2 linked regions of the Macaca fascicularis genome follow. The protein of the gene in region 2 purifies or fractionates together with the protein of the main gene of each other region. This does not show direct contact. Links are inferred from orthologs where the notes say so. Each region holds a gene or a part of one and is shown on either strand. Other genes may lie near its edges.

Evidence for each region.
Region 1: the proteins of EN1 (region 2) and TLE1 purify together in Homo sapiens (affinity purification with western blotting; 4 studies listed by BioGRID and IntAct, with this or other methods). This does not show direct contact. The link is inferred for Macaca fascicularis from reciprocal best matches to the Homo sapiens genes EN1 and TLE1.

The regions. Positions count from the first base shown.
Region 1 is NC_088389.1:112,327,339-112,341,808, forward strand, and holds the start of TLE1 (transducin-like enhancer protein 1), read right to left. Parts: upstream 7,910-14,470; 5' UTR 6,591-7,909; coding exon 6,567-6,590; intron 5,785-6,566; coding exon 5,684-5,784; intron 4,252-5,683; coding exon 4,188-4,251; intron 4,076-4,187; coding exon 4,031-4,075; intron 1-4,030. UniProt on the Homo sapiens protein: Transcriptional corepressor that binds to a number of transcription factors. Inhibits NF-kappa-B-regulated gene expression. Inhibits the transcriptional activation mediated by FOXA2, and by CTNNB1 and TCF family members in Wnt signaling.
Region 2 is NC_088386.1:12,929,853-12,944,224, forward strand, and holds EN1 (homeobox protein engrailed-1), read left to right. Parts: upstream 1-5,530; 5' UTR 5,531-6,184; coding exon 6,185-7,064; intron 7,065-10,086; coding exon 10,087-10,403; 3' UTR 10,404-11,301; downstream 11,302-14,372. UniProt on the Homo sapiens protein: Required for proper formation of the apical ectodermal ridge and correct dorsal-ventral patterning in the limb.

The sequences.
Region 1 (14,470 bases), on a different chromosome or scaffold from region 2:
ACTCCCTCCCCATCACTGCGCCTCCACCAGGATTCCTGACTTGTTTCTTCTTCAACGTACTTTAACCCGAGGACAGTACTGCTCAGTAGGATACAACTTTTTACCTACCTATGGCCTGTAACCCTCCTCTCCCCGAAAAGACCAGTCAGCAGCACTGCTGATTTTCCTAACTTTTAGAACATACATCCAGCCCTGACATGTCTTATAAATCATGAAGTTGATCAGCACAAAGACTGAGAACTGAAGAGGCAGGCACTAGGGAGACATGGTCCACCTCATCTTGCCGATGGCAGCATGAGGGGACAGGAAGAAGCACAGACAGGCCACGTGTGGTGGCTTATGCCTATAATCCTAGCACTTTGGGAGGTCAAGGTGGGTGGATCACTTGAGGTCAGGAGTTCGAAACCAGCCTGGCCAACATGGTGAAACCCTCACTCTACTAAAAATAAAAAAATAAAAAATAAAAAAAGTTAGCCGGGCATGGTAGCGAGCACCTGTAATCCCAGCTACTTGGGAGGCTGAGGCACAAGAATCGCTTGAACCCAGGAAGCAAAAGTTGCAGTAAGCAGAGATCGCACCACTGCACTCCAGCCTGGGGGACAGAGCGAGACTCCGTCTCAAAAAAAAAAAGGAAGAAGCAGTACAGACAACCCTGGAGGAGGCAACCCAACTCAAGTTTCAATAGATGCTTGGCCTTGAGCAAGTCCCAGGCTTTGAACACATGCCCACAGCTGTGGGTAGAGCAAAACACCTGCCCAATCCACGCCGGAGGATGCCTATGGAGGTCACAGAAGACAAATCACATTGAAAACTGTTCATTACTGTGCAAATTAAAGCCACCAATGACAATTTATAGCATGGCTTCATCAGCATGCTGAAGAGATACACGAGTGGGCTAAAATAAGGCTTATGTGTGCATTTACAGTACATCTTGTTCCCAAAAATATCAAATGAGGTAATATCAAGCCATATGACAGATAAAAACATTTAAAGATCACGCCACCACACACACTAGGCATAGCTAAGCAAACCACCAGGCTCACAACAACTAGTTGTTTTTTAATGCACCCTAATACTCTGATGGTATCAGAACTGCCTCAATTTTTCAGGAGACACTGTCTACCTCTACTGTATAGCGATATCTAGAGTTTACCATCCACACAGATAAAGACAGGCAGGCAGGGATCTATAAAAGGCTCTAAGAAAAAAATATTCTTAGTGCTACCATAAAAGATTTAAGTATCTATTACCATTCCTGTTTCAGTGCCTTTTCGGTAACCCGCCACAAATGGGAGCAGAGAAAGTTAAGGGGAAGGCTTATCAGGAAGTGTTGACACAACGTAAACACGGGCTGTGGGCACCACACCAGGGAAGGAAACCACAATTATACCATTCTTGATTTGGATGCACTTTCACTTTAAAACTTCCAGACGGGAAAGTCAGCAGTGAGATTTGACAATGAAATCTCTAGAACTCACTCCTTCGACAAACCCGTTGAAAGGTGGGAAGGGAGAGCGATCGTCACACTGGAGACAAATCTTAACAGCATTAAAGCTCTCTGTACAGAAAGTTTCCCCTTCACTGCTTTTTTTTTTTTTTTCAGTAACAAAGATGTTGTCAGAAATGACAATTTTTTGTGTCCCCTGATGATGCCTCGCTAGCATTTGGTTATAAGCCATAAAGCAGGAATAATTTCAGCCTGTCAGGAGTCTCGCTAATGCCCAGTTTCCCCCTAGAGAGAATTCCTGTCAAATCTAATGAGAGCTCCAAAGGCCCTCTCTACAATATAATGAGCACTTAGGCCATGCTGGTGATCAGGCAGCAAAAAGCATCAATTTGAGCCTGGCTACACCCTGGGGGCCAGACGTCACCAGTTTTAATAAGAATTATGATTACTAGCTGCACCAAATGCCTCCTCAGAACTTATTATTAATGTGTGACATTCAGAAGGATGTTTTTCAAATGTAAGGCCACTTTAAACTGAATTATAGCACTACTTTGCACACCACTCGAGTTAAGGGTCTGTCAGCATTTCCAATATCAACTAAATTTCAGGGGGCTCAATACCCTACTATGAGGAACATGGTGTCTCTCAGCTTTTCACGTTTTTCAAATTGCTAAGCCAATTATACACAGCATATTATTAATGCATACAGGCTCACGGACGGACAGCATATACCCACAAATGCCTCACGCTGTATAGAAACTCATTAGAAAACTATTCTCACACCATGGTGCTTCTGACCCACTTCACCCCTTCTCCCTACACGATAAAGAAGAGGTCATCCCGCCACATAACCTACAGGAACCCAGAAGAATTACACACCTCTTTTAGCTCCTCCAATAAACCCAGCACCAGCATATAGCATCACACCGAGGGGGTGTTTCCTTATAAAAGAGTCAATGAGGTTATTAAATCCTTTGAGTTCACGGATTTAAGAAAAAGCTCAGTCTCCTCTTACTCTTCCATAATGTGTTATCCAAAAAAAAAGTGCCCTTCAGAGTAATTAAAAAAAAAAAATTAAACAGCCTAGGCCAAGTTTATTTGCATAATTCACTTAAATGATGATAGACGTTAGCCATAGATCTTCTAGCCCATTTACTATCAACAAGTTACAAGTGCCTGAATAAGGCACTAGCCATTGAGAAACACACAAAAACAAAGGCACAAACCCAACATAAAGTAGGCTACCAACTTTGCAAATCATAGTAAAATCTGCATTTTTAAAAGGCCCAATTACATTACTAATAAAAGGCCCTGAACATCACAATCTCTTTCCAAACACATATCTGAGAACAGATCTAATGTACACGATAACTTAACATTATGAAATCTATGATGAATTAAAAATCAAAGAGTGCAGAGTTACAAAAGCAGAATTCAACTCTGAAACACACTTGCTTAATGAAAGTCTTTGAATATAAGGAAGATCTGAAGGCTGAACTAATCAATTTCTCCACTGTGCCCCAGCCGGTCAGCCATGCTCTTTAATTTAATGAAACAAGGGTTTGAGATGAAATAGCACATATACATCAAGTAAGAATTGTATTGTTGCACTTTGAAATGTGTCCAACTGTGCAACTTCATCTGATGATAATTTTTTAAGAGGCAATCGATTTCTAAAAGACTTATTGTACCAGCGTCTTGATGAAAAAGTGAATGTCAGCATATCTCCAGAATACTTACACCCTGCCATTAATGCTTTCTTTGGCAGACAATGACTACTCAATCGAGGGTCCTTTGGGCTGAGCAATCATTTAGCTTTTCTTCTCTTATGAGGTCCTTAGTGCCTTGTTCCAGCTCAATACTCTTTTTATACACCATTATAGTAGCCATAAGTGTGAATTTTATGGGAACTTGCAAACTCATAGTCATTGCTAGAGCTTTCCAGTCACTAATCTTTTCATGCTTTTAAAACCACTAGGACTGAAGCAACTCCCAACATATGCTCTGGCCATAAAAAGATGCTTTTTTCACATCCAAACCTGCAACAACTGAGAAATTTTTCAAAAATTTGTTTGCTAATAAGCCACTAATCCTGACTGTTGCTTCGAGCAGACCCAAAGCATAAGGAATACTCCACAGATAGTCATATACTTTGTTTACTATGATTAAAGAAACTCCTGAATACCCTTCTTTCCCCCTACAGGTCCACACATCCTTGCAAAACAGCACAAAAACATTAACTATTCTAAACTTCAACAACTCTATAAGATACCCAGCCCTTTCAAGAGGATAAATCTATACAGGTGGAAAAGTCAACTCAAGTCTCAATTCCTATCTGCCATTAAACAGGCTAGTTTATATTTCCAAAACACCTCTCTTTCTCCTAGTCATTTAAACACTCGTAATTATCAGGAAGCAACTCTTGCTGCAGAATACTACCATCAATCCACAGGACAGGAAACCAAGGCAGAAAAATAGCATACAAACCCCCACTCCTAGAGCCCACTACTGAGAACAAAGCCAGTATTATAAAATCATACGAACTGATTTCTCATTTCAGCTTGAAGTTCAACTAAAGCTTACCTGTTTATGCATTTCAATGTTTAATCCATATGACATTTCGTAATACTGTAAAGAGAAAAAAGAATCAAGCATTTCATTAACTCACATTTTTTATACTCTGCTAACACGTTTGCTAATATCATACGAAAAGGGAAAAAGTCGACTCTTTGATACCTACCATCACATAGTGCCTCTGCATTTCTGTCTTTTCACTTGCCAGTTTCTCACATTCCAATTTAAGGCTATGAAAACAAAACAGGCAACTTAATGTAAACATTATGTCACTTGTTTTAACATCTGCCTCACATATTTGCACTTCAAGTAAAAACAGACCAATTTGGAAAAGCCATAAACTATCTAGGTAAACACCCAAAAGCTTTGTCCTTGCATTTAATAGGGAAAAGGAATAATGTGAACAATACGAGGTGTCCATTCAGCTACCATTCTTCTTGGTGCCTATCTGGTTAGATGACAAGAATGCAAAAAATCTGTCAGAACCTCTAACTGATTCCTCCTCATGGTCATCTGCTCCCTACCTTCCTGCATCAGTTTCTCTGGACTCCACCAAAATCCGGCCCTTGCACAATCTTCACTCTTACGCATAGACTGTGCCATCTTTGCCAACTCAAACGGTCTCTAGGTTTGAAAATCCTATCTGTTAAGTTACTCCTACAATTGCTAGTCCCTTTCAAAACCTTTGGTTTTTAAATCCCTGCCAAAATATGTCAAGTAGCTACTGCAATAAAGTGGGTTGAAGTTCTCCCTGCTGGGTAAACACGGTGTGTGCAAGTATGCCTCAAGCTGCAGAGATATTATCTACAAGTAGACAAAAGGTCAATAATCAGAAAGCCCCTGACAAAGTAAGAAAATTCACACCCAAGCCACTTCGCCTCATCTGTGTGCTTTTTCTCAAGCATGACAAAACCAAAAAATGTCAATACAGTTATTTCTGAGTTAGAATCAGGTAAAACTTCATAGGAGCAAGGGAAAGAAACTAACCTTTCTGGGAAGTTCACTATTGGCAGAGTATCTTACAAAAATGTATAAGTCCTTTGGAGGCAAGCCTCATTACTCAGAGAAACTGAGGCTGAGATGGATATAAATGTGACTCCACTCTCCCATCCTACCCAAACCAACCTGAAATGACGCCAAAGCAGGTGAGCTTTCTTCTGCACACTATTATACCCACCTCCCTCACCATCGCCAATGATGGGCAATGTTAAAAGCATCTAGCCTTCTTTAATGAACTTTGCCTCAAAAACCCAATTTTCTAGTATGGCAAACAGCGATTTCAACATGGCTTTGCTTCCCTGAACCCACACTCCAGGACTGAGACATCGATTGAACCAATGTTTCAACTCAGTCTGTTGAAAAATAAATACATGAAGCGCAAATATTGACGATTCTCATGCAACTTCTAAAGACACGAAAAAGGACTCCCTGGAACAGCAGCAAACCAGCAAAAGGGAAACAATGGGAGGAGGAGGAGACAAGAGAAGAGGCGGCCCGGGAAGAACCAGGAAAGGGGGTAACTTGAATGACAGGTCTTAACTGAGACTCCACACGCCACCGCCTGGACGCAAGAACTAAGTACAGGCGCCGCCGCCACCCGGCTGGGCGACAAGGGGCACGGGGACGCCCGCGACCACTCGCCTGGAGCGGCCAGACACGCACCTGTGATACTGCGCCTGCAGGAACTGGAATTCCTCTTTAATCCGGTCCAGGGACTCCGGGATAGTGAACTTGAAGGGCTGGCCTGCAGCCTGGTGCGGCGTCTGGGGGCGACCAGCGAGGGGGACCGAGGGACGGGAATGCGGGCGGATGAATAAAGCAGTAAGTCAGAGAAGGAAAGAACGGGTGGGACATAAACAAAAAATAAAGTTAGAAGTGGCTGAAAATGAGGCCCCAAACTCGAGTTTCCCCTTCACTTGGGGGAGGGGGAAAGTGGACCCTCCCCGGGCCCCGGCTTCTAAAGAGGCTCGGAAGCTCTTCCCAGTCTCCAGGGCGGATCGCGTTAAGTGCGCCCGGGTCACCAGGCCAAAGGGAAGGGGGCTCCCCGGCGGCCCGGTTAGACCAGGCCAGATTGTCGGTGTCGCCGCCCCTTCCCCCACGGGGGCGATAATGACCCGGAGGACCAGAAGAGAAAAACAACTCCTTTACGCTCCCCATTCCCAGAGTCGCCAGGGCCACCTCCAGACGCACCGGAACCGGGGCCGCATTGACATGTAAATAGGCGAGACGAGAAACAAAGGGGGGGCGCCCTGCCCCCCTTGGGGAAGGTTGGGGGGATATGGCTACAGGAGAGAAACCCCAGCCTTCCCCAGCGCCCCTATCCGCTCAGTATAGACGTCAAGTAGGAAGGAGCCCAAAGGGAGGGAGAAAATTCAGAGTTTCAGTCCACTCCCCACCCCAAGAGGAGAGGGCCCCAGACCTCCCCAGCCTTATGCCGCGGAGGGCGAGAGGGTCCGCCGGGCCGCCGAAGCCACCCGTCTCCCTACCGCCCGGGAGAAGCGCCTCCCCAACGCTCCTGCTCCCCCACCACCCAGCCGCGCCTCACCGGGTGCCGGCTCTGCGGGAACATCGCTCTGGCGGCGGCCGGGGCTCTGTTCCCCGGCAACTCAATTCTCCGGTCAATTTCCAACTTTAATCCCGCCGAGGAAAATTAAGCCGGGAAGCCAGGCAGAAGCGGGGAGCGCGCTGGCCACGCACGCAGGCGCGCTCGGCCGGGCGCACCGGCCACTCGGCGCCCCCAGCTGCTCCTGCTCCCGCTCCCGTCGGTGCGGGCTCCGGCCCTCAGGGCCACATTGGTGGGCGCCCCAGGCCCAGCTGCTTCGAGAACCTGCGCGGAGACGCCGGGCGCTCGGGGACTGTGCGCGGGGGCAGCGCTCCAACCCCCCGGCCTCAGCCGCCGGGGCGGGGAGGCGGGGGCGCGGTGACTCCGACCGCACTCCCCTCGGCGATCCGCGTGCGCGGCGCCAGTCCTGGGCAAACAAATCCAGACGGGCTGCTTTTCTTTGCTCTTCTCCTGGTCCGCCTCCTCTTCGGGTTTTCCCCGAGGCGGCGGCGGGCGAGATGCAGGTGGCGAGGCGGCCCCCGCTAACCCCACACAAACAAACCCGACGCTTTCGGGGCGACTCCCGCAAGACTCGGCTGCGCCTTCGGCCAGGTGCTCGCAGGCTCCCGGGACGGAAAGGGGAGCGAGGTTGAGGAAGCGGCGGAGGCTCCTGGCCGGGGAGCGAGGGATGACGAGGCGGGGAAAGTGCGGAGGGCGCGCCGGGAGGCGACTCGGCACGCCCCGTGCGACCAACACTCGGTGTTCTCCGCCGTTGCACAAACCCTCCGGGACCGACGGGGCTACTCCACCGAGAGCAGTCCAGCAACTGCCCGCTGCTCCTCGAGCCCGAGGAGCATCAGGGCGCCGCGCCTCGCGCGCACTAGCCCTGCACGGCCGGCTCGGCCGCTCTGGACCCTTCTTCCGAGCCCCTTCTTCCTCGGTCTTCTTTCTTTCCTTCCTTTACCTTCTTCTGCTTCTCCGCAAAGGGCGCTCCAGCCCGCTGCAAAGTTCTCTCACCACCCGAGGGACGACATCCACGAGATGGTGGGGAAAACAGCAGGAGTGCGCTCCGCCAATCGGCCACCCTCCCCGGCGGGCAAACTCTGCGGGCGAGTCCGGAGTAGTCACAGCGGTGGGGCTAGCGGGGGTTTTGGTCGCCGCGGGACGACGGAGGTCCGGGCTGGTGGCGCGGGTCCCGCCCGGCCGTGCGAGGGTGGGGTGGCGCAGTCGGCTGCCTCCGGGACGCGGGGCACAGAGTACCCGCCGCTGCTGCTGCTGCTGCTGCTCCTGCAGCCGCCGCTCCCACCGCCGCCGCCGCCGCCCGCGCCTCTCGCGCCGGTTACATTAACACGCGGTTTCACACTCCGGAGCTAACCAGCGCCGGCCCCGCCCAGCCCGCTCGGGCGGGGGGCGCGAGCTCCGAGCCGGCGGGGGACGTGGGCCCAGGAGGTGGGGGGGGGGGCAGGAGGCCCTCATCAGCCAATCGCGTGCGCTGCACCCAACGTGGGGCGCTGACGCGCGCCTCCCCGGAGCCTATGGCAGCGCAGCGCCGGACGGGCCGTTCTCCCTCCCCCGTCCTCTCGCTTCCTTCTCCGCGGTCTCCTCGGTCTCCCCTCCCACCCCGGCCCCTCCTCCGCCAGCCGCGTCCTCCCGGGCTTGGTGAGGAACTGTTCCTGGAGGAGCCGCGGGACGGCAAAACCATCCAATGGGAAGAGGCGATTCGCGGAGATTGGCACTGAAGATGGGAAGGTCGGTGGGAAGGAGAGCGGCGGGGCTGGGCTGTCAATCAAAGTAACGTGGGGCTGGCTAGAGAGCGCGCAGGAGCGCGCTAGCGGGAGGGACTGGCGAGCGTGCAGCCGAGGAAGCTGGGGGCTCGAGTTAGCAAAAATCCTGCCACTTGCTCACTTTTCCCTTTAATGAAAATCCTCAGATCTAAGTGAAAGTAACTCAAAGACTAGCTGCGTAGTTTCTTATTGGAGGCGGAGGGGGGGTTTTGGTAATTCGAGCAAATGTGTTTTTCAGTGCTGGACCCCCTTGTTTGATGCTACTCTGAAAGTGAGGCCACATTGAAAAATACATCTGACGTTTGTTTTTCCTTGAGCTGCCTTTTTACGGATGTACGAGAGGGAGTGGACTGTGCACTTAGTTGGAAATGCGTAAATGAGCAACGGCACGGTTGGCGTAGGTACACCAGCCGCAGAGACGACTATGATGTCCTCCCACCCCACCCACCTCCTTTGCACCCAAAGTGGTAGGATTTGGTTTTTATTGCAGGATTTCAAGCCACTTTTCAAAAAGATCGTCCTGCCCCGTTTGGCGGGAAGGATTCCCAGGGTGCTGCCAGAACAAGGCACGCGTGTCCGCAGATGAGACGCTTTGCCCGGGGCGTGAAATCCCAGGTCTTCGTCTTAAAAGTCCAGACTTCGCTGTTAGGAGAGGAGGGGAGCGGCTGAGGTTTTTAGGAGCCTCTCAGCTACAAGACCAAGAGTCTGTTTCCAATTCCTGGGAACAAAGAGAGACAATGTAATAAACCAGCACTGAGACTTGAAAAACCTGTCCCGCACACCCCACCCCCATAGTCTGGGTGGTACTCCTGAGCTGAGCTGTGTGAAGAGCTAAATGGGAAGAGTTAGGTAAATGACGTGGCTACGGTTCTTATGAAGTAGAACTTGAGTTAAAAGGGATTTTGAGATTGTAATAATCAAGACACGCTGTATAATTAATGCTGAGAGTCTTCGGTTTTTGTGTATGTCTCTAAATACACCCACAGCAGAAAACCGTCAGTATTGCTGCATTTATACTTTTGTTTGAAGAACAGTCCAATGGAGCTACTTCCACATGAGCAGTGAGTGAATAATGCTGGTTTAGCCAAACGGTGGTAACTTTTTCTATAAGGGCACATCTTGGACAAGTATTTATCTTATGTTGGAAAATAGTTAAGTTTTTGGTATTAATAACCCCCACGTTCCCATTATTTTACTTTCAAGAGACTTATGGGAAGGAGCTTATTTAAAGAGACATACATTTTATTTAAAGATGTGCTTTTACAGAGATCTTTTTCTTGAAATAGTTTTAGAAGTTGTTTTAGATAATACATTTCACTGTTGGAGTTGTTTTAAAATATGTATGGGCCGGGCGCGGTGGCTCAAGCCTGTAATCCCAGCACTTTGGGAGGCCGAGGCGGGTGGATCACGAGGTCAGAAGATCGAGACCATCCTGGCTAACATGGTGAAACCCTGTCTCTACTAAAAATACAAAAAACTAGCCGGGCGAGGTGGCGGGCGTCTGTAGTCCCAGCTACTTGGAGGCTGAGGCGGGAGAATGGCGTAAACCCGGGAGGTGGAGCTTGCAGTGAGCAGAGATCGCGCCACTGCACTCCAGCGTGGGCGACACAGCGAGACTCCGTCTCAAAAAAAAAAAATAAAATAAAATAAAATAAAAAATAAAATATGTATGATATTGATTTATCTATAATTGCATCACTCCCAAATATCAATTATAAATGAAAAATAAAAAAGCTATTTTAGCCTGTCTGTACGAAGCCATAGTAAATTCTTAAACAAGTTGGGCATTGTAGCTTTGTGGTGTTCTCATTAAGTACAGTTGGGAAGGCGGCTGTATTATTCATTTTGCTAACATGGAGAACAAAAAAGAAGAAAGCACTGCCTCACTTTCTTTGGTTAAATTTGGTGATGATGAGAGTTTTGCTCGACATACAGGACTTTTTGGAATCATAGGACCCCAGGCCTTTAGCAACCTGTTTTCCTTGAAATCATCTAATGTACGAGCCACATATTCCAGTCTGCAGCCAGTTCATCCCTTATCAGCTCCAGGACTGGATAGAAAGTGCTTGGATGCCACAAGTATGCTTGTATACATGCTGTGACAACTGGAGCAACTGATACTCCTCCGCAGCTTACCCAGGCTTTACGTGCCTGTATCTTGAATAACTGGCACACTCTCATTAAGTTTAAACAGAGCCACTAAAATATGCTTTGAGACGGGGCAAAAGTGTTGCTACTTCTCCTTTCCCCACCCGGCTGCCCTCAAAATCAGTTCTAAGGCATCTTTAAATGTTCTGTAATGTATCTACTCACAGACAATGTGTCTGCTCACCATATTCCCAGTTTGCCATGAGTAAACACTGGAAATTCTCTTTTAACTAGTCTTTCCTTGCCAATAGAGTTTGAAAACACCAGGCCTTCTGATTTCCTTATAATGTAGTATCTAGTATCTACAGATCATTATGAATTTAAAATTGGAAGGCCTTTAATTGTGCGCATAAAAATGGTTGGTTTTGGTTTTTGAAGCCTTTTCTTCCCATTTAGAGCATCGTCTGTCAGAGTGGGAGAAGGCTCTGCCCTTTTCAAGGTCATATTTTCTCCATGATTGTCATGCTGTAATAATTATACTACAAAACTCTCATCAAACTGCATTACAAATGATGGTGTTTAAACAGTCAAGTAGCTTTAATCTTATGTTTTAAATAAATAATATATGTGCAGATTGCCTACAGCCTGTTTAAAAGAAAATAGTCCTCCTTATGAAATCTATAATTTTGGTCTTCCATTTAAAGCCTGTTAACCGTAATCTTCTTTACCTTTAACATTCGTATGTCAATGATGTTTTTATGTGAAATGTATGATGCTTCCACTGGAAATTTTCTCTGAAAAACACGGTACCCTTTTTATGCTCTGCAGAGAAACACAAAGATTGTCAGCTTGTTCATTCTCTTTTGATGTATATGTGGGTATATTCCCATTCATTTGTTGCTTATTATCAAATTTTCAACTCAGCAATAGCCTAAGTAATTGCAAAAGCTAGATGTTATCTAGTACAGATACTACACAAAATAGGAAAAGTTATGGATGCTGATTGTAGCAACTAGACATCTTTTAAATCTATTACTTTTTTATTTGAAATCATAATTGTAATTTTTTTTTTTTTTTTTTGGAGACTGAGTCTCCCTCTGTCCCCCAGGCTGAAGTGCAATGGCGCCATCTCAGCTCACTGCAACCTCTGCCTCTTGGGTTCAAGATTCTCTTGCCTCAGCCTCCCCAGTAGCTGGGACTACAGGCATGTGCCACAACACCCGGCTATTTTTGTATTTTTAGTACAGACGGGGTTTTGCCATGTTGGCCAGGCTGGTCTCGAACTCCTGACCTCGTGATCTGCCCGCCTCAGCCTCCCAAAGTGCTGGGATTACAGGTGTGAGCCACCACGCCTGGCTAATAATTATAATTTTTAAAAGACCACTTTTGTTGTGTTCTCTTCATTTTAGCTGAGAATTATTGCTAATTTTCTCATTTCCTTTTTTTTTTTTTTTTTTTTTTTTGAGTCAGAGTCTCTCTCTGTCACCCAGGTTGGAGTGCAGTGGTTGTGATCTCAGCTCATTGCAACCTCCACCTCCCAGGTTCAAGCGATTCATGTGCCTCAGTCTTCTGAGCAGCTGGGATAACAGGCATGCACCACCATGCCCGGCTAATTTTTGTATTTTTAGTGGAGACAGTGTTTCACCATGTTGGCCAGTCTGGTCTCGAACTTCTAACATCAGGTGATCCGACTGCCTTGGCCTCCCAAAGTGCCAGGATTACAGGCATGAGCCACCCTGCCCCACGTTTTCTTTTTCTTTTTTTTTTTAATTGAGAGTTTTCTTAAACCTAAGAATGTAAGGTCCAGAAGAATTGTTCCCAGCATTGCTTTGTAATCTTTTTCTCCCCCACCCCTTTACCAAAGAAAAGGACAAGATGGACGTGGAGGTGGAGGGAAGAAGGCAGAGAAGGAAAAAAAAAAATCAGTAGCAGATCCATGCAGCAGTAAAACCTCAAATAAAATCACTTCCAAAGAATCTCTTGCGGTTTCACACAATATGGTAAAATTAGAGATTGCAGGAAACCAACTAAATTAAACTGGGAGCATTTGAAGAGAAATGAGCAGACTTTATGAAAATGACACATTGACTGACCAGTATGCTTTTTTATCAACAATTTCTTTGTTAAGACGAAGATCAAAGGAACCTGCATATGTTTTCATTTTGTTCTAACTAGAAAATTACATCCAGATGTTTAATAGGCATTTGGTTGGTTTTTCAGCATTGATTAGATATGTGGGTTCTGTTTGCTTACAAGTGCAGCCGGATCATTAGCTAATGCAAAGAAATGTTTGCTGTGAGTTGCTAATTAGGGCTTTTGGAAACCCTCCATGCTCAAGAACAATTTGTACAGTGGCCAGAAGAACTTGTGGGACTTGGGGAAGTTGTTCTCCCTTCTCTGTCAGAGTGGGGAGAAGCAGACAGTCCTATTCCCTAATCTCCCTTTGCCTAGGGGGATTGCGATGAGATCCCCAAGGATTGGAGTGCAAATAAATTAGGAAGAGACCACACAGGCACTCCCAAACACGGAGAGATAAATGTGCTCTTTCTGGAACCACCACTGTGCGGTCTTTTGAGGTGGGGGGAGCGAACATCTAAAACGCTGGATATTAACATGTGGAAGATGCTTGGTGCTAATGTTATCAAATACACAGCATTTTTAAGTATACTTTAGAGACAGATGGGAAAGCCCTTTATGATAAACGAGTGTACTTGAATTCATTACTGTAGTACTTATAATTAAAAATGTCTCCTTTGCAATTTCAGTACTTTCACAGGATACGAGAGACCAAGCTTGGGAACTAGAAGGCTGGGGAGAGCGAAAGGAGTGAGGGAGAGGAATTTTGGAAGCCAGGGTGAGCCTGGGAGGAAATGCAGTGTTTACTTTCACAGCCCACCCATTCGTTTACCTTGTTAAAGCCCCAGAACTTGTACAAGATTAGCTATTCACTCAGTATTCAAATAAACTGTTTGGGAATTTGAGGAACCAGGCGGATAAACTTCTTAGCCCACCAATCACGTTTTTAAAAATGCTTGACTGTGTCTGAGGCCTGCAGAAGAACACCACCTCAGCTGCGGCCGAACTTCTGTTTATTTAAGTCTATATTTCGAGAAAGATGTCAGTCTAAAATAGCATGTGTTTATAAGCAATCATAGGAGTGCAGATATAAATCCCATTGTACCACGTTCTTCTGCCTATTAATGCCCCTTCTACTCCTAAGTCTGTTTATATCTCTCCCCCGCCGCCCCCCCGCAACGGAGTCTTGCTCTGTCACCCAGGCTGGAGTGTAGTTGTGTGATCTCGGCTCACTGCAACCTCCGCCTCCCAAGTTCAAGCAATTCTTCTGCCTCAGCCTCCCGAGTAGCTGGGATTACAGGCACCCACCACCACACCCGGCTAATTTTTGTAGTTTTTGTAGAGACGAGGTTTCACCGTGTTGGCCAGGCTGATCTCGAACTCCTGACCTCGTGATCTGCCTGCCTTGGCCTCCCAAAGTGCTGGGATTACAGGCGTGAGCCACCACACCCGACCAAGTCTGTTTACAAGTAATGCACATGTACGGCACACTCCTATGTGTTAATGTTACCTGATTAATTTGGGATTTTCACACTAATAGGATATATTCATGATTAGTTTCTTTGAAGTAGTTCAAGCAGAGAGCCTTTCTGCCAGAGCTTTCCCTGTCTACAAGCGAGATGCCCCAGAAAAGCAAGAACAGTATTTTGGGGCTTGATGAAACACTGCCTGGAGTTCAGACCATAATAAAAGATCTCAGTGAAGTTTGCCCTCCCCCTCTTTTCTTTTCTTTTCTTTTCTTTTTTTTTTTTTTGTGACGGAGTCTAGCTCTATTGCCCAGGCTGGAGTGCAGTGGTGCAGTGGCGCCATCTCGGCTCACTGCAACCTCAGCCTCCTGGATTCACACCATTCTCCTGCCTCAGCCTCCCAAGTTGCTGGGATTACAGGCGCCCGCCACCACGACCGGCTAATTTTATGTATTTTTAGTAGAGATGGGGTTTCACCATGTTAGCCAGGATG
Region 2 (14,372 bases):
CAAGCCGGATCCAGGCGGGAGCGGCCACTCGGACAGGTGGGGAACAGGGGTGGGAGAGGGTACCCTAGGCCTGAGGACACCGACCTCGGGGAATCTTCTGGGGAGTGGGAGGGAGCCATACAGGGATAAAAGCAAAATAAAAAATAGAAGAAAATTCAGGCACAGACACGGATTTTTTCTTTTTTTCGGGGAAAGGGAAAGAGATTAAACCCAAACTCGGGTCTGGGTTCTGGGGTTTGGGTGGGATTCAGTGTAAGCATAAAAAGCGGGATGTCAGATTAAAGTGAAGAAAAATAAATAGGGAATTGTGTGTAGTCCTCCTGCTTCCCGGAGCAGCGAAGTCTAAAATTCTCAGCTCCAGAGGCCTGTCTGCCTGTGTGATAGAGTCCCAGCGAGGTTTGAAATTCCGGGGGGGCGGGGCAGTGAAGGCTACTCTTCCCGTAATCCGAGCCAAGGGGCCCTGCGTCCAGCTCCCGGATCATCCCCGCACAGCCCGAACGCTGCCTGCAAACCCGCGAGCAACGACAGTTCGGGTGTTTGCACCCTGGCGCCGTCTGCGCTTGGCGCGGGCCTGTGGACAGCCCGCGGGGCTCAGAGAGGAAACCAGGGCCCCAGGAGCGCTTTCTGATTCCTGGCCACCGGGTGCAATTTACAGAAAGCATCGGTATCTTTCCACCGTTTCCCACGGGGAGTCAAGAGGAGAAAAGTCTCAGTTTGTCTGACTTGAGAGAGAGAGAGAGAGAGAGAGAGAGAGAGAGAGAGAGACTATTTCTAGAACAAAACTGTACATGCTGTGAACTGCCTCAGATAAGAAGGAGAAAACTCTGGAGGAAGACTGGATGGTGGGGACATAAATCCAAATACTGAAATTCACGAAGGTGACAACATCCAACAGTGGGCTTTTTCTCGGGCTTTCCAGATACCTAGACATTTTTAGTCTTATTTCATATATACAGAAAAAAAGAAATCCTCCCTGTCCCTCATCCCCTTCATGAAATGCTCTGGGTCCTCTACAAACAAAGCTGCTGCCCCAATTTCAGGAGTCAAGGGAGCATTTTATTTTGTCAGCGGAGCATTTTATATTCCATGGTTTACCTCCCACGCACCCCCCACCCACCGGCTTTTTTCCTTTGCTGCCTCCCCTAGTCCCACTCCACTTTGGACAGAATTGCTTAGGATCCCTAACCAATACCCAACGAATCCCCCAGCACCCACCCACCCCCACATTATTATGGGCTCCAAATGAAGACCAAGACCCCGAGTGCTAATTGAATTAGTCTATTGAAAAAGACTGTCAGGTACAATGACGTGACTCGAGGCCCCACATTTCCCAAGGTCTATAGGCTTTGGGGACCTGCGATGTATAGTCTGACCTTCTAGCTCATAATAACGCGGCACTTGTAGCAGAAATCTCCTCGCATTCACTCCCAACAAAACCGCTGGTCATCCAGTCCCCGTAGGAAGGCTGCACGCTATTGTGTTGCGACAACTCATTCATGTCCCGCACCACGAGGCCCCACCGCCATCTGATCTACACTCGAAATGCGATTACCACCCTGTGCATGCAACATGCTCCTACTCCCAGTCCATGGCGCACACCCCTCGCCAGGCTGCAAGAATTTCTTTCATAATTCTCCTTCTGGTCCTCATCCTTGAAAGAGAGGTGGAAACATGCAGGACCCTGGTATTTGTCTCTGCCTACACAAAATCCAAAATTCTATGGACAAACAGGCTGGTCCTCTTTTCTGAACAGCATACACCAAAACCCTCAGCAAATACATTTCTTCATGCCTGACTAGTGGGGCTGACTTGGGTGTACACATTAACGTTCACATACACACAGGGGTCTCCTGCCACACACAACTATACACACACACACACACTACTTTTATAGACTAATTTTCTCTCTGGGTGGCTCTCACAGACCAAGCAAATAAACACAAATATACACTCTTGTCCCCACAGCCACGGGCCACTCTTCAAGACCGCTGAGTGTTTTCCCCAAAATTAGAAAAGGGGAGAAAGAAAGGTAAAATTTCTCAGTCTTCACTCTAATAAACACATGTCAGTCTTCCGACTACATGATTCCCAAACCCCACTAGCTAGCAGCTCCCCAAACATGTATGCATCATTCTCCTCTGTTTGGCCAGGTGTCTTTGGCTCAGTGGGAGCCCCTGACTATCCTCAGAAAATGCAGGAAGTCTAAGGACGGGAGAAGGGAAGGACGGTTGGGGTCTCTCTCTGTCCTATTTACCCAACTCCCCATCACTGAAGGCCTCTTTGGGACCTCCTTCGTTCAAGTGAAAAAAAGTAGCACCCCTCCCCCAACTTTGGCATTTGAGACAAAACACTCTATATCTTCCTCGTCATTCTCCACTTTTATCTGGGCTATCCCCGAGGAAAGGGGACTTGGGGACAATCAACTTACTGCAGAGACACAGCCCAGTCTATGGCCTTCTGTGGGCCTCTAGCCCAGGTGACTGCATAGCTCAGAACTGCAAAGCCATAGAAAGGCGCACAGGGTACCCCCACACTTCCATATCTTTGGCCCAAGAGCAGATGGCATTTGGAGAAAGGGGCTCCATTCCATTTGAGTAAGGCTTCCCCACCTGCTACCCGCAGGCCCACCTCTCTGCCACCCCGGCCTGGGCATCAAGTTGAAAGTCATTCCTTAGCTCCCAAAGGCAGAAACGAGTGCCCCCAAAAGGACCGCCACACAAATATAACCACTCGTGCAGATACAATCCTTCACACACACCCTAACCCTTTACCCACATACTTGTACACACAACTCACCCTGCCCGTAGTTCCTCACTCACATGCCCAGCCCCGGGCTCACTCAGAGTTCTGTGAACCCCTCACCCATCCGTCTCGGCCAACATTTGTTCACTCAGCCCTCACACACTTCACTTGCGTGCTTGCCAAGACGCCAATGCGCTCACACAGAGTTCTCAATAGCATGTTCATTTGCAGGAGGGAGAGGAGGGCGTAGGGTCTGGGTGGAGGTCATGGAGCGCAGGGCGGCGCGGGGTACCGAGCGTCCGGGCCAGGCAGGGCCTGGGGGAGGTGGGGGGACTAGCCAGCGCGCAGAGTGCCGCCTAATCCAGCTCGAGCTCGTGGGCCGCGGGTGCATTTATCATCCCATTACTGTAACAAATCCGGGCTCCACTACATGAAAGGTAAAATGAATTACCGACGTTAAGCCGTCAATAAAGTCATTTCTGTAAATGGCGTCTCCAAAGGGCCGCCGCATTATTCAGCTGGCTTTATCAGCTGGCTGGAAATTACGTGGAGGAGCCGGGCCGCGCGGCGCGCGGGGCCGCTCACTTTGATTAAGCGTCTTGCCAGCGCGATGTGACAGAGCTTTTGACCAGGGTTTTATTCACAGGCCTGTGATGAACGCCAAGCTGATCAGGCGGAATGAAGAGTAATTAAAACCTATAAATTATCTTCCGCAGCCCTTCTCGAGGCGTCTCCTGCAGGCGAGATAAGGCGTCGAGACCCTATTTACCGCGCTGAAAGGGACCGCGGTGCACAAAAGCTACGCGGCTAAATAGGATATTGATAGTGTCCTAATTAGAATTTAATTAAGTACCCACGCTTGCTTGCGGGATAAAGATTTCAATTTTGCGAACTTAAATATAAATAAAATCCCACCCTCATTTCGGGGAGAAGGGGTGGGGGCGCCTGGAGATTTCGGGGAGCCCTTGGGTGTGCGACTGAAGAGGACTCGGGAGACTCCAAAGTGGGGTTGGAGGCGACTTGGAAAGGTTGAGAAGACTGTAGCGCAGCGTTAGGGACAGAGGTTTTCTCCCCTAGGCTGCAGCGCAAGTCTAGCCGGGAACTCAGCCCCAGAAATCGGGGGACCCTCGCCTGCTCCCAAGATGCGGTGAGCAATACGAATTCCTGCTCTCCACCAGCCCTTTTGAGAAACTTCAGCTACTGCGGTGTTGGTTCGACTTATTGTGGGTTTAGTTGCATGTTCCTCCTAGCCTAACCCCCTGTGACTTTTCTGGAAAACTGGAGGTAGGGGGATTATTTCGCATGTCACAAATAGACAATATTTCCAAAGAGGTACTTTCTCTACTGTCCCAGTTGGGGAGGGCGTTCAGGGCGAGGAGGTCCGCTGGAGCTCTAAGATGACACCCCCGAAGGCCTCGTTTGCCTTTCTCGGCCACCGCAGGCTTCAGCAGAGTCCAATACTGGTCCTCCAAAACGACTCCGGAGACAAGTTCCGCAGGTGCCTAGAGCTTCAGTCCACAAGCCACTCCCGTCCCTCACATTACCGGTTATGAGAAAACTCTGGGGGTGCCTCAACCAGGAAACAGCGAAAAAGAGCCCGGCAGACGGGAGAGTGATAGCAGCTAGAGGAACCGCATTCCCCTCAAACTAGGGAAGAACGCCAGGGCTGGAGCCGGAGGCACCCAGGGAGTTGGGAGCAATCCCAGGAAATTCAGTTACCCCGCAATTGAGGGAAACTCCTTGTTCACAACGTCAGCTGGCCAGGGCAAACACTTGGGGTGCAGCGCTTTTATTTATTTGATTTTACTTTGCAGGGAAATCTAACATAGAGGTTACCCTGAACTCTAAAGCTAGGGCCTAGCGTGCATCCGCGTTCTGACTCGCCAGCGCGGGGGCCCTCCTGAGATTACTCTGCGTTGCCCGGACTCCCACTGCCAGGGAAGGTCCAGGCGGCTGGCGCTGGGGCTATTCCGAGCCCTCTGGGCTTGGCGCTATGGCGCCAGGACAGCTCCAGGGTGTTGTCGAAAGTCTGGACCGGGAAGGGCATGGGTGCGGATTCCCCACAAAGGGAAAGCAATGCAGCGGGCCGGCAGGAGACGTACAAACGTAAACCTGCGACGCTAGCTAGGCGCAGCGGGCCTTTCAGATTTTGCTATTTGTGAAAAATAAATTGCGCCTCTGAAAGAAACCAACTCTAGGTCTATTTCACATCACCGACCTCCTTGTCTCACTCCCCCTCCCTCCACTACACACACCCAAACCCACACCTACCCACAAACACACAAACCGGCAGTGACAACAACCACTCATCCTTCATAACAGCAACCAGAGAGAGAGGAGAAAATAAAGAGCTGAGGTTCTTAGGCGTGGGGGTGTAAAACAGCCAGGCTCCTGCCTACTGCCCCTGCTCCCGGCGCGCACAGACCCATAATCCTGCGTTTCTCCAACAAGTTGTTTATGGAGTTGCTTCTCCATTTGCCTACATCCCAAAATCCACCCCTCCCGGGTTTCTTCTGCCCCCTCCTCGGTCCCGGCCTGAAGGAGGGGGAGGGGCGCGGGTGGGGGAGGGCGGACCCGACGCACAGGGCCAGCGCCGCGGCGCCCCCTCTCCGCCCGCGGCTGACGCCCTCGGATTATTTATCCGCAAAGTCCCGCGCGCACCCATTGGGCCGAGGCCCGAGTGTCAGCGCGAGTCCCGGCTCGCCATTGGCTCCGCACACGTGCGGCCCTGACTCACGTGCTTCCGGTTTGAAGGCAAAAAGTGTGCCTGGGTGATTTTTTTTTTTTTAAGCGAGAGAGTTTGTGCAAAGATCCTAGCTGTCAGAGATTTGAAAAAAAAAAAAAAAAAGAGGAAAAAAAAAAAAAAAAAACCCAGCCCGGCGCTGGCGGAGACGCGCTCTCCCTGCAAAAAAAGCAAAGGCGATTAAAGGCGCTGCCAGCCTCACGCTCTGGGCACAGCTGAGCGTGACACTCGGGGAAGTCAAATCCCTCACTACTGCCTAGGAAGATGGCTAGACTTTAAATACTATTTTTTTCCCTTTAAGAAAAAAAATTATTGGAGCTTTTTTTCTTTTTTTCTTGCTTTCTTTTTCCTTTTTTCTTTTTTTCCTTCATTTTTTTTTTTTTTGGCCGTGGCTTACTCCCCATTTAAATCAAATCATTGAATCTGGTTGCAGAAAGAAAAAAGAAATAGCCAAGTGTCTCCATATCTGGATGTCTACAAATTAGAGAGGGAGAGACAGCGAGATCTATCTGCTAGATAAGAGCGAGCGATCCAGGCCAGACGCCTGAGATTTTTTCCTGCACCCGCCCGTGCCTTCGCTGGGGCTTCGCCTGCCTCCTTCCTCTGCGCACCCCCACGGGCCGCTGGCAAAGTGGGGTGGGGAGCGAGGCGGTGGGGGCGGGGGCCGGCGCGGCGGCCGGGGCGGCGGGGCGGCCGAGCATGGAAGAACAGCAGCCGGAACCTAAAAGTCAGCGAGACTCGGGCCTCGGCGCGGCGGCGGCGGCGGCGACCCCGGGCGGCCTCAGCCTGAGCCTCAGTCCAGGCGCCAGCGGCAGCAGCGGCAGCAGCGGCAGCGATGGAGACAGCGTGCCCGTGTCCCCGCAGCCCGCGCCCCCCTCGCCGCCCGCGGCGCCTTGCCTGCCGCCCCTGGCCCACCACCCGCACCTCCCCCCACACCCCCCGCCCCCGCCGCCTCAGCATCTCGCGGCGCCTGCTCACCAGCCGCAGCCAGCGGCCCAGCTGCACCGCACCACCAACTTTTTCATCGACAACATCCTGAGGCCGGACTTCGGCTGCAAAAAGGAGCAGCCGCCACCGCAGCTTCTGGTGGCTGCGGCGGCCAGAGGAGGCGCAGGAGGAGGAGGCCGGGTCGAGCGTGACAGAGGCCAGACTGGCGCAGGTAGAGACCCTGTCCACCCGTTGGGCACCCGGGCGCCAGGCGCTGCCTCGCTCCTGTGCGCCCCGGACGCGAACTGTGGCCCACCCGACGGCTCCCAGCCAGCCGCCGCCGGCGCGGGCGCGTCTAAAGCTGGGAACCCGGCTGCGGCGGCGGCGGCGGCGGCAGCGGCCGCGGCGGCAGTGGCCGCGGCGGCGGCGGCGGCCGCAGCAGCCAAGCCCTCGGACAGCGGCGGCGGCGGCAGTGGAGGCGGCGCAGGGAGCCCAGGAGCGCAGGGCACCAAATACCCCGAGCACGGCAACCCCGCCATCCTACTTATGGGCTCAGCCAACGGCGGGCCCGTGGTCAAAACTGACTCGCAGCAGCCTCTCGTATGGCCCGCCTGGGTCTACTGCACACGTTATTCGGATCGTCCATCCTCCGGTGAGTACCCAACTCCGGGCTGCGCCATGCTTTCTGGCCTCGCGGACCGCCCCAGAACGCCAAGCTGCGGCGCTAGGGAGAGCAAACCCGGCCTCGGGTACTCCAGTCTCTCACGCCTGCTTCCTCACCCCAGTTCCAGCCGCAACCGAATGTTCACCCAGCTATGCGATCCTGGCCTCTGCGGCCACCACCCGAGAAGCTACAGCTCGTGGCACAGGAGGCTCGAGTCTCGATTCTTTGGTTTTGAACTCTGAATCCCTGGGGCCTTCTTTGTCTTTTATCTTTATTATTCTTAGGAAAAGTACACAGTCAATGATTTTGTTTCCAGGGTGTTTAGATATGGCAGGAAGTTGGGCCTAGTGATGTGTGTCTGAAATCCCACCAGCCGGATCGTCCGGGGGCCAGATTGGACCAGAGAAGGCCTTGTTCAGAAAAATTATATTCACAGTGTGTCCTTACAAACACAAACACCATCTTGATATTTTCTGCGGAGTGACCGTTTACACTGATAAATATGGGGACACAGAGGAAGACAGGGAGGAAAGCGTCTGAAAGCCGTCCCTCTCCCCTGGTCGGGTAGCGAAGAGTCTGACCCGGGTGGGTAGAATCCAGGGAAAGGCAGTTGCCAAAAAGGTGGGTGCTGGCAGCCTCTGGTTTTCTGGAACTGACAAACAGTGGGAGAGGAGAGAAAACAGGTCAGGCTCAGGTCAGAAAGCCGGGCCAAGGGTATGAGAGCCAGTTTCCTCCGTAGCTTCTCCGCAGAACGGCTCCCACATCCTCCCTGCCTGGCACTTTCCTTTTTTCACCAGCACATCCAGCAGTTAGCAGATTTCTGGCATCCGTGGGCCTGTTTTTCTCGGCTTTCCTTCCACTGCATTTTCGTGTGCCCCTCGCGCTTGGCGAACCCGAGGAGGAGACCTGAGCTGGGCTCCGGAACAGGAGGCCAAGGCCTGCCCGACGCCCAGGCCCGCAGTGTCTGGGAGAGCAGCAGAAGCTTTGGCCCAAGATCAGCACTCCAGGCGCCGGGTCCGGCAGGGGGCCGGGAACAACGTAGCCACGCGCCGCTTTCCTCTGGCTGGTCTCTCGCCGCCCCACCGCTGCCGGCCGGGCGCGGATCGATGCGCACTATCAGCTCCCGCCATCTCGAGCCCCGTTATTGACACGTCGGGCTCCCTGAACCTCCGAAAAGCTGCTTTGATTGACTCGCCTGATGGATAGAGTGATTGAGCTGTCAGGCTGCACGGCTCGGGCTGGCCGGGAGACTACGATTTTATTACAAGAGTCCGTGCCTCCGCACACGCATACAACAACACTTCAACATGTCCCGGATGCACAACGCGCAGTGGTGCCTTTTTGGGGTTGTGCGCATTTCCTGGGCTATTTCTCCCCGCTCAGCTAATTACGAATCTAAACCCCAGTTCTGCTCTGGAGAGGGCCTTGGCTTTGTTCTTGGCCACTTTCCTTCTTATGGGCCTGGGTAGGTAGGGGACCAGCTCCTTCTCCTGCTTGGGCAGTTGGGGGAGGAGGGGATGAGCCTCGACCCAGATCTGAGTCGCTGCAGTATGCTAGGCCTGGACTCTTTGTCATAGGACAACTGGTTACCCCAGGCTCTTACCTGCCCCAGGAGTAGGCTGCCCAGCTTGCCTCTCTGTAGCTAGGTTTGGATATGCCGGCAAAGATCCTTCTTTCCAGACAGTTTTAGAGGTGAACAGGCCTGACAGGGACTTAACTTGGTTCAGCAAGCTACCTTATCCAAGGCAGGACCCAGCAAGTAAATGCCAGAAGACTTGGGTGTGGAAGCGGGTGGGCAGAGGTGCAGGCTTTTGAGGCACACACGAACAGTTCAATCCTATCCTGGTTTTCCCGCTTTCCCTCCTTCCTTTCTCAGTGGACCCTCCTCCCAGACTAGTATTTGAAGGGAACTTCACCTTCCTAAGGAGGTTTCCTGTGGCCCCTTCCCATTCCTATCTGGCGGTCAAAGCACTTTTTTTTTTTTTCTGGATTGTCCCTGTCTCCCTTCCTCTGCTTCTTTTTGCTCATGGATGGGGGAAGGGGCTGCAGTCTCCTTGCAGATGTCATCAGTAGGCAGAGAAAGCCAATCTGGCTTGTTTTTGTTATTCAGAAGTTTTTAATCCTGAAATTGCAGCGGCTCAAAGGGGAGATAAGGAAGACCCAGATAAGGGAGACCCTACCCCACACAGCCCGTTAGAGGATCCAAGGGGCAAGGCTGAAAACCCAGGGGCCAGGGTCATGAGGATGGATGAGGGCCTTTTCTTCTCCTTCAGAGAAGGGGTGGTCCCTGTATCCCTGAGACACTAGAAAAGGCTTCCTTTAGGCCAAAGAGAAAGAAGGCAAGGAGGTGGGGGGGGGGGCGGGGGGATTGCACAGGTAGACACCAAGTACTTTGGAGCTGAGCAGCCTTCTCCCAGCCCGCTCACTATCCCGTTGTTTTCTGGGGTCAATAGCTACAAGCAGATGGTATCTTATTGTAGGTTCTCCTGTAGGTACGATTCTTGTGGAGGAGAGGAGGATTAGTCTGTAGGCTGGTGACTCCCCCAGGGCCTGCCCCTCACTGCCCTAGTCCTATCTATTCCAGGGCTGTAAGGACAGCAGGCCCCTGACCCCCAACTCTGGGCTGGGCCAGATGAGCTCCAAATATCTGGTCATCTTGGATTCCTTCCTTCTTGGCCGGAAAATGCTGTGATTTCGGTCTGTCCCTGACTGTCCTGTGAGAATTGGGGTGTGGGGTGCACCTACAACCTCAACCAGCTTTCCTTCACCCTTTGCCCTCCCAAAGGGAACCCGGAGACCCCAGTGGTCTGGCGAGGGGCATTTTGATCGAGGGATTGGCCGGCGGGAGGGAGCCAGGGGTTCAGCAGGGCCTCCGAGATGGCCCCGGAAGCGCGGGGCTCGCGGCCCAGCTCGGCAATGCAATTCTCACCGCTTCCTTTGCCCTCTCCCCCCTCCCTTCTGCCCTCCGTCCCCACCCCCACCCCCACTCCGGCCCTCTCCGCCGCTGCAGGTCCGCGCACCAGGAAGCTGAAGAAGAAGAAGAACGAGAAGGAGGACAAGCGGCCGCGGACGGCGTTCACCGCCGAGCAGCTGCAGAGACTCAAGGCGGAGTTCCAGGCAAACCGCTACATCACGGAGCAGCGGCGGCAGACCCTGGCCCAGGAGCTCAGCCTCAACGAGTCCCAGATCAAGATCTGGTTCCAGAACAAGCGCGCCAAGATCAAGAAAGCCACAGGCATTAAGAACGGCTTGGCGCTGCACCTCATGGCCCAGGGACTGTACAACCACTCCACCACCACGGTCCAGGACAAAGACGAGAGCGAGTAGACGCCACCGGCCGGGGCCGCGCGGTCAGGCCGCCGTGCCCGCGCCGCCTCCCGGCACCGCCGCCGTCGCCTCCCGGCCCCTAGCTGGGGAAGAAAGCATCTGCTCAAAGGAGGGAGGGAGCGAAGGGAAAAGAGCGAGCGAGACAGAAAGAGAGCCTCAGAATGGACAATGACGTTGAAACGCAGCATTTTTGAAAAGGGAGAAAGACTCGGACAGGTGCTATCGAAAAATAAGATCTATTCTCTATTCACAGTATAAGGGACGAAACTGCGAACTCCTTAAAGCTCTATCTAGCCAAACCGCTTACGACCTTGTATATATTTAATTTCAGGTAAGGAAAACACATACGTGTAGCGATCTCTATTTGCTGGACATTTTTATTAATCTCCTTTATTATTATTGTTATAATTATTATAATTATTATAATTATTTTATCCCCTCCCCCTCTGCCTCGCTGCCCCCGGCCCAGTTTCGTTTTCGTTGCCTTTTTCATTTGAATGTCATTGCTTCTCCGGTGCCTCCCGACCCGCATCGCTGGCCCTGGTTTCTCTGGGACTTTTCTTTGTGTGCGTGAGTGTGTTTCCTTGCGTGTCTGCCCACCTCCTCTCCCCCACCTCCTGGGCCCCTTCTGTCGGTCTGTCTGTTCTGCCCCCCTTTCGTTTTCCGAAGACTTGTTGAGAAATACGACCCCACAGACTGCGAGACTGAACCGCCGCTACAAGCCAAAGATTTTATTATGTTCAGAAACCTGTAGTCTGAAATAAAGTGTACACTGTGCTCACGAGCGCTGGCGGCCCTCCTGTTTGCGGGCTCGGGAAGGGCGTGGGTCCGAGCACACAGCGTCTCAGCGCCCCTGCGCACGCCGGGCCGGGAGCCGGCGGGGCCTTGCGATCACCGCACAACGAATGCAGGGGCGAAGGGGAAGCACGGCCCAGATGCGGATTTGGCCTGGGTCTGAAGGGTCTGGCGGGACACGCCTGGTTTCCGATTGCGTTCAAGGGAACTCAAAGGCCGGCAAACCCAGTCCTGGCTTCGGAAATGCTGCCCGGGTTACCCGGCAGCTCCCCGCACCGGTCCAGGCCCAGCCCAGCAGCGGCCTCCTCCTGTACAGCCTGCTCTTCACTCCAACCTGCACTTTTCTTTTTCTTTTTTTCTTTTATTCCCTCTGGTGCAGGTTTTGCTGCAGATTTTTTTCATCCAGAGATAGAAGGGGGCCTGCCTTCCTCCCTACCCAACAGCCCGCTTGGGCGAGGGGCACTTTGGCATGGCCTCTCGGCCGCCTGGACTCACTGCACTTCGTTTGGGGGAGGGCTTCTGTTGGCGAGGCAGCAGGTCCGGGGGCAACCAGCGGAGTCTCGCGGGGCTCGGATCTCCTGGTCCCACAATGCGGGAGGAGAGAAGGCCCAGATGCTGGGAAAGCTGTTCGGAGTGCCTGGAACCCGAGGTGGGCGCGGGTCTGCTGTGTCTGGGCCCTAAACCTAGGAGGGTTCCCTTAAGCATCCCAACAAAGCCTAACTTTCTTCTTCACCAAGGCGGGGGGCGCACGTAGAAGCCCCCAGGGCCCTCAGGACACCCTGGGTTCCCAGAAGGAAATGTCTGGCCTCTTGCTGCTAACACTGGGGCCCATCCTTCCAAGGCAGGAGCTGCTCTCAGACCTTAAGAAGTTAAGGGGAGGAAGGGAAGGCTCCTTCTCAGGAGGTATTCTCTCTCCTTTGTCCAGGATTTTTAAAAATTGTAAATTCCACTCCCACATTATTTTCTCTCTTCTGCAATATGTATGTATATACCCATACGTGTGCAGCTAGACGGGCAGGTGTCCACACATACTTGTGTGCATATATGATAATGTGCAGATATTGGTGCACCTAAGTTCCTACCAGTTTTTTGTGTGTTCCTGTACCCGTGAGGACTGTGCAACTGATTTTCTTCTCTAATGAGATGCACAATTGGATGTGTGTGAGTTCACTGTGCGTACATGCATGAATTTGTGTTTGCACACTGGAATGTCTGCAGGTGTGTTTGCTGGGTTTGTGCACGTGTGAGAACCCTGTTCTCTGTGCTCTTCGCTTGAGTTTCTTGTTTTTGCAGGATTGATTTTGTGTGAAATGATAATGGCTAGTTATTCCACCTTTTTTATTGAAAAATTTCCCCTGATTTGGCCCAATGTACTGTTCGCTCCTGGCCAGGGAACTAACAGGGCTAGATCTCAATCCCAGGAAGCCTAGGTCTCCTCTAAATCCCTACATAAGAGTTTGGGGGCTCAGTGGCCTGGAGTGGAATTGGAGAGTGCATTTGACACTGCTGTGGGTTCCCAACTTTATTGCAATTAATTTCCTTCCTTCCATCTGCCCATTGTTTTCTGGAGGAGTGTTGAGTAACTCTTGCGTATAATAGGTGCTCAACCAATCTTTGTGGGCAGAGTTAGAAGGAGCGAGCTGGACCCTTCCCTGGGGTTGGTCCAGGGGAGTTGTTTTCTGGTAGTCAAAAGCCTGTGCTTTGCTTTCCTTGCAGAGTGGGCTTGGAATTTTCAAGCCTTGCAGGCTTTCCTATTAAACAGTCTGATGCCTGGGTCTTGGAGCACCCTTCCCTTCATACAGCCGTCTCAGAATTTCAGGAAGAGTCCCATTCCATTTCACCCTCCCAGAACATCCAGATGTGATGTTAAGGATGCTCAACTCTATATATTGGAGAACCTTACTATTTTTGAATGTCTGGGAATTGGCTACACTCCCTTCTCCCCTCCCTATTGTGGCCCCTTAGGATATCCAAGTCCCCCAAGACCGCCAGGTCCAGAGGCTGGGACAGAGGCCAGTGTGAGCAGCGACTCCAGGAACCACCCCATTCCTCATGCTCCCCTTCCTCTATCCAAGAGATCAAAGCCAAGAGCTCTTCCCTTTAACCCAGTGAGAGGGGGAGAAGGTGGTCACTCACCCCCATGATTGCGTCAGTAAAGTGTACAGACGTGAGTGTCATTATTATGTAATTTGGTTTCTTGCCCATTATCTCCTTTAATCTTCCAATCACTATGGGCAAGTGGATTTTTCTTCATTGTTCAGTGAAAGAACATGAAGCTCTGAGAACTTAAACATTTTGTTTGTGCCTCCTCCTTGACTATGGGTGTCTAAGTCGCATCTACCTCAAGGATCTGGCCAAGGCCCTGAAGCCATCATCCAGGATGACTTTCCCATCTTCTCTCCATTTTTCCTTCTTTCTGATTGGAGTAGAGAAGTGGAGGAGGATTCTGGTGGGACCTTTTTTTACACGCCCTTTAAAAAAAAGAAACTAATAATGATCATAAACGGGCATTGATTTCTCTGATTTATGAGGCTGGCTTAGTGAGCTGCCTGTGTATTAAGGTCTGGGGATGCAGCGAAATAAATACTTGAGCACGCCATCCCAACTTCCTCATTTTCTGTTTTTCCTTTTTTTTTTTTTTTTTTAAAGATTGAATTGAACCATAAACTTAAATCTTCCTCAGTCTAAAAGGAAATACATGCTAGCTGAGTCTAAACAGTATTGATCCCTGGTTCTTTCTGAGGGCAAAGGTCTCTGTTTTCTTGCTGGAAACTCTCTTTTCTTCAGTAGGGTTAGGGAGAAGGCCATGGATGGGGCTGAGGGAAGGCATGAGGAAAGTGGAAGGAGAGGGTGTTGTGGTATTTGGGAGTGTGGGGTTGCTTGGTGTGATTGCGTGGGCTTATGTATGCGTGGGTTGTACTGTGTGTGGGCATTTGTATAGGCATGGTACTGAGTATATTTATTTAGGTTTGGGAGGTGGAAGTGTGTGCTTTGGGTATATGGCCTCTAGCAGTGATTGTTTGATGTCTGTGGGTGTGTGTATGTGTACCCAGTTCTTAAGCTCCCTAGATGGGGCTGCCCAGGGAATAGAGGAGTGGCCTGTTAGCCTGCACTCTCCCAGGGCCCCACACCCATCTGTCACCTGTGGCAGGGTTTCCAGAGATAATACCATGG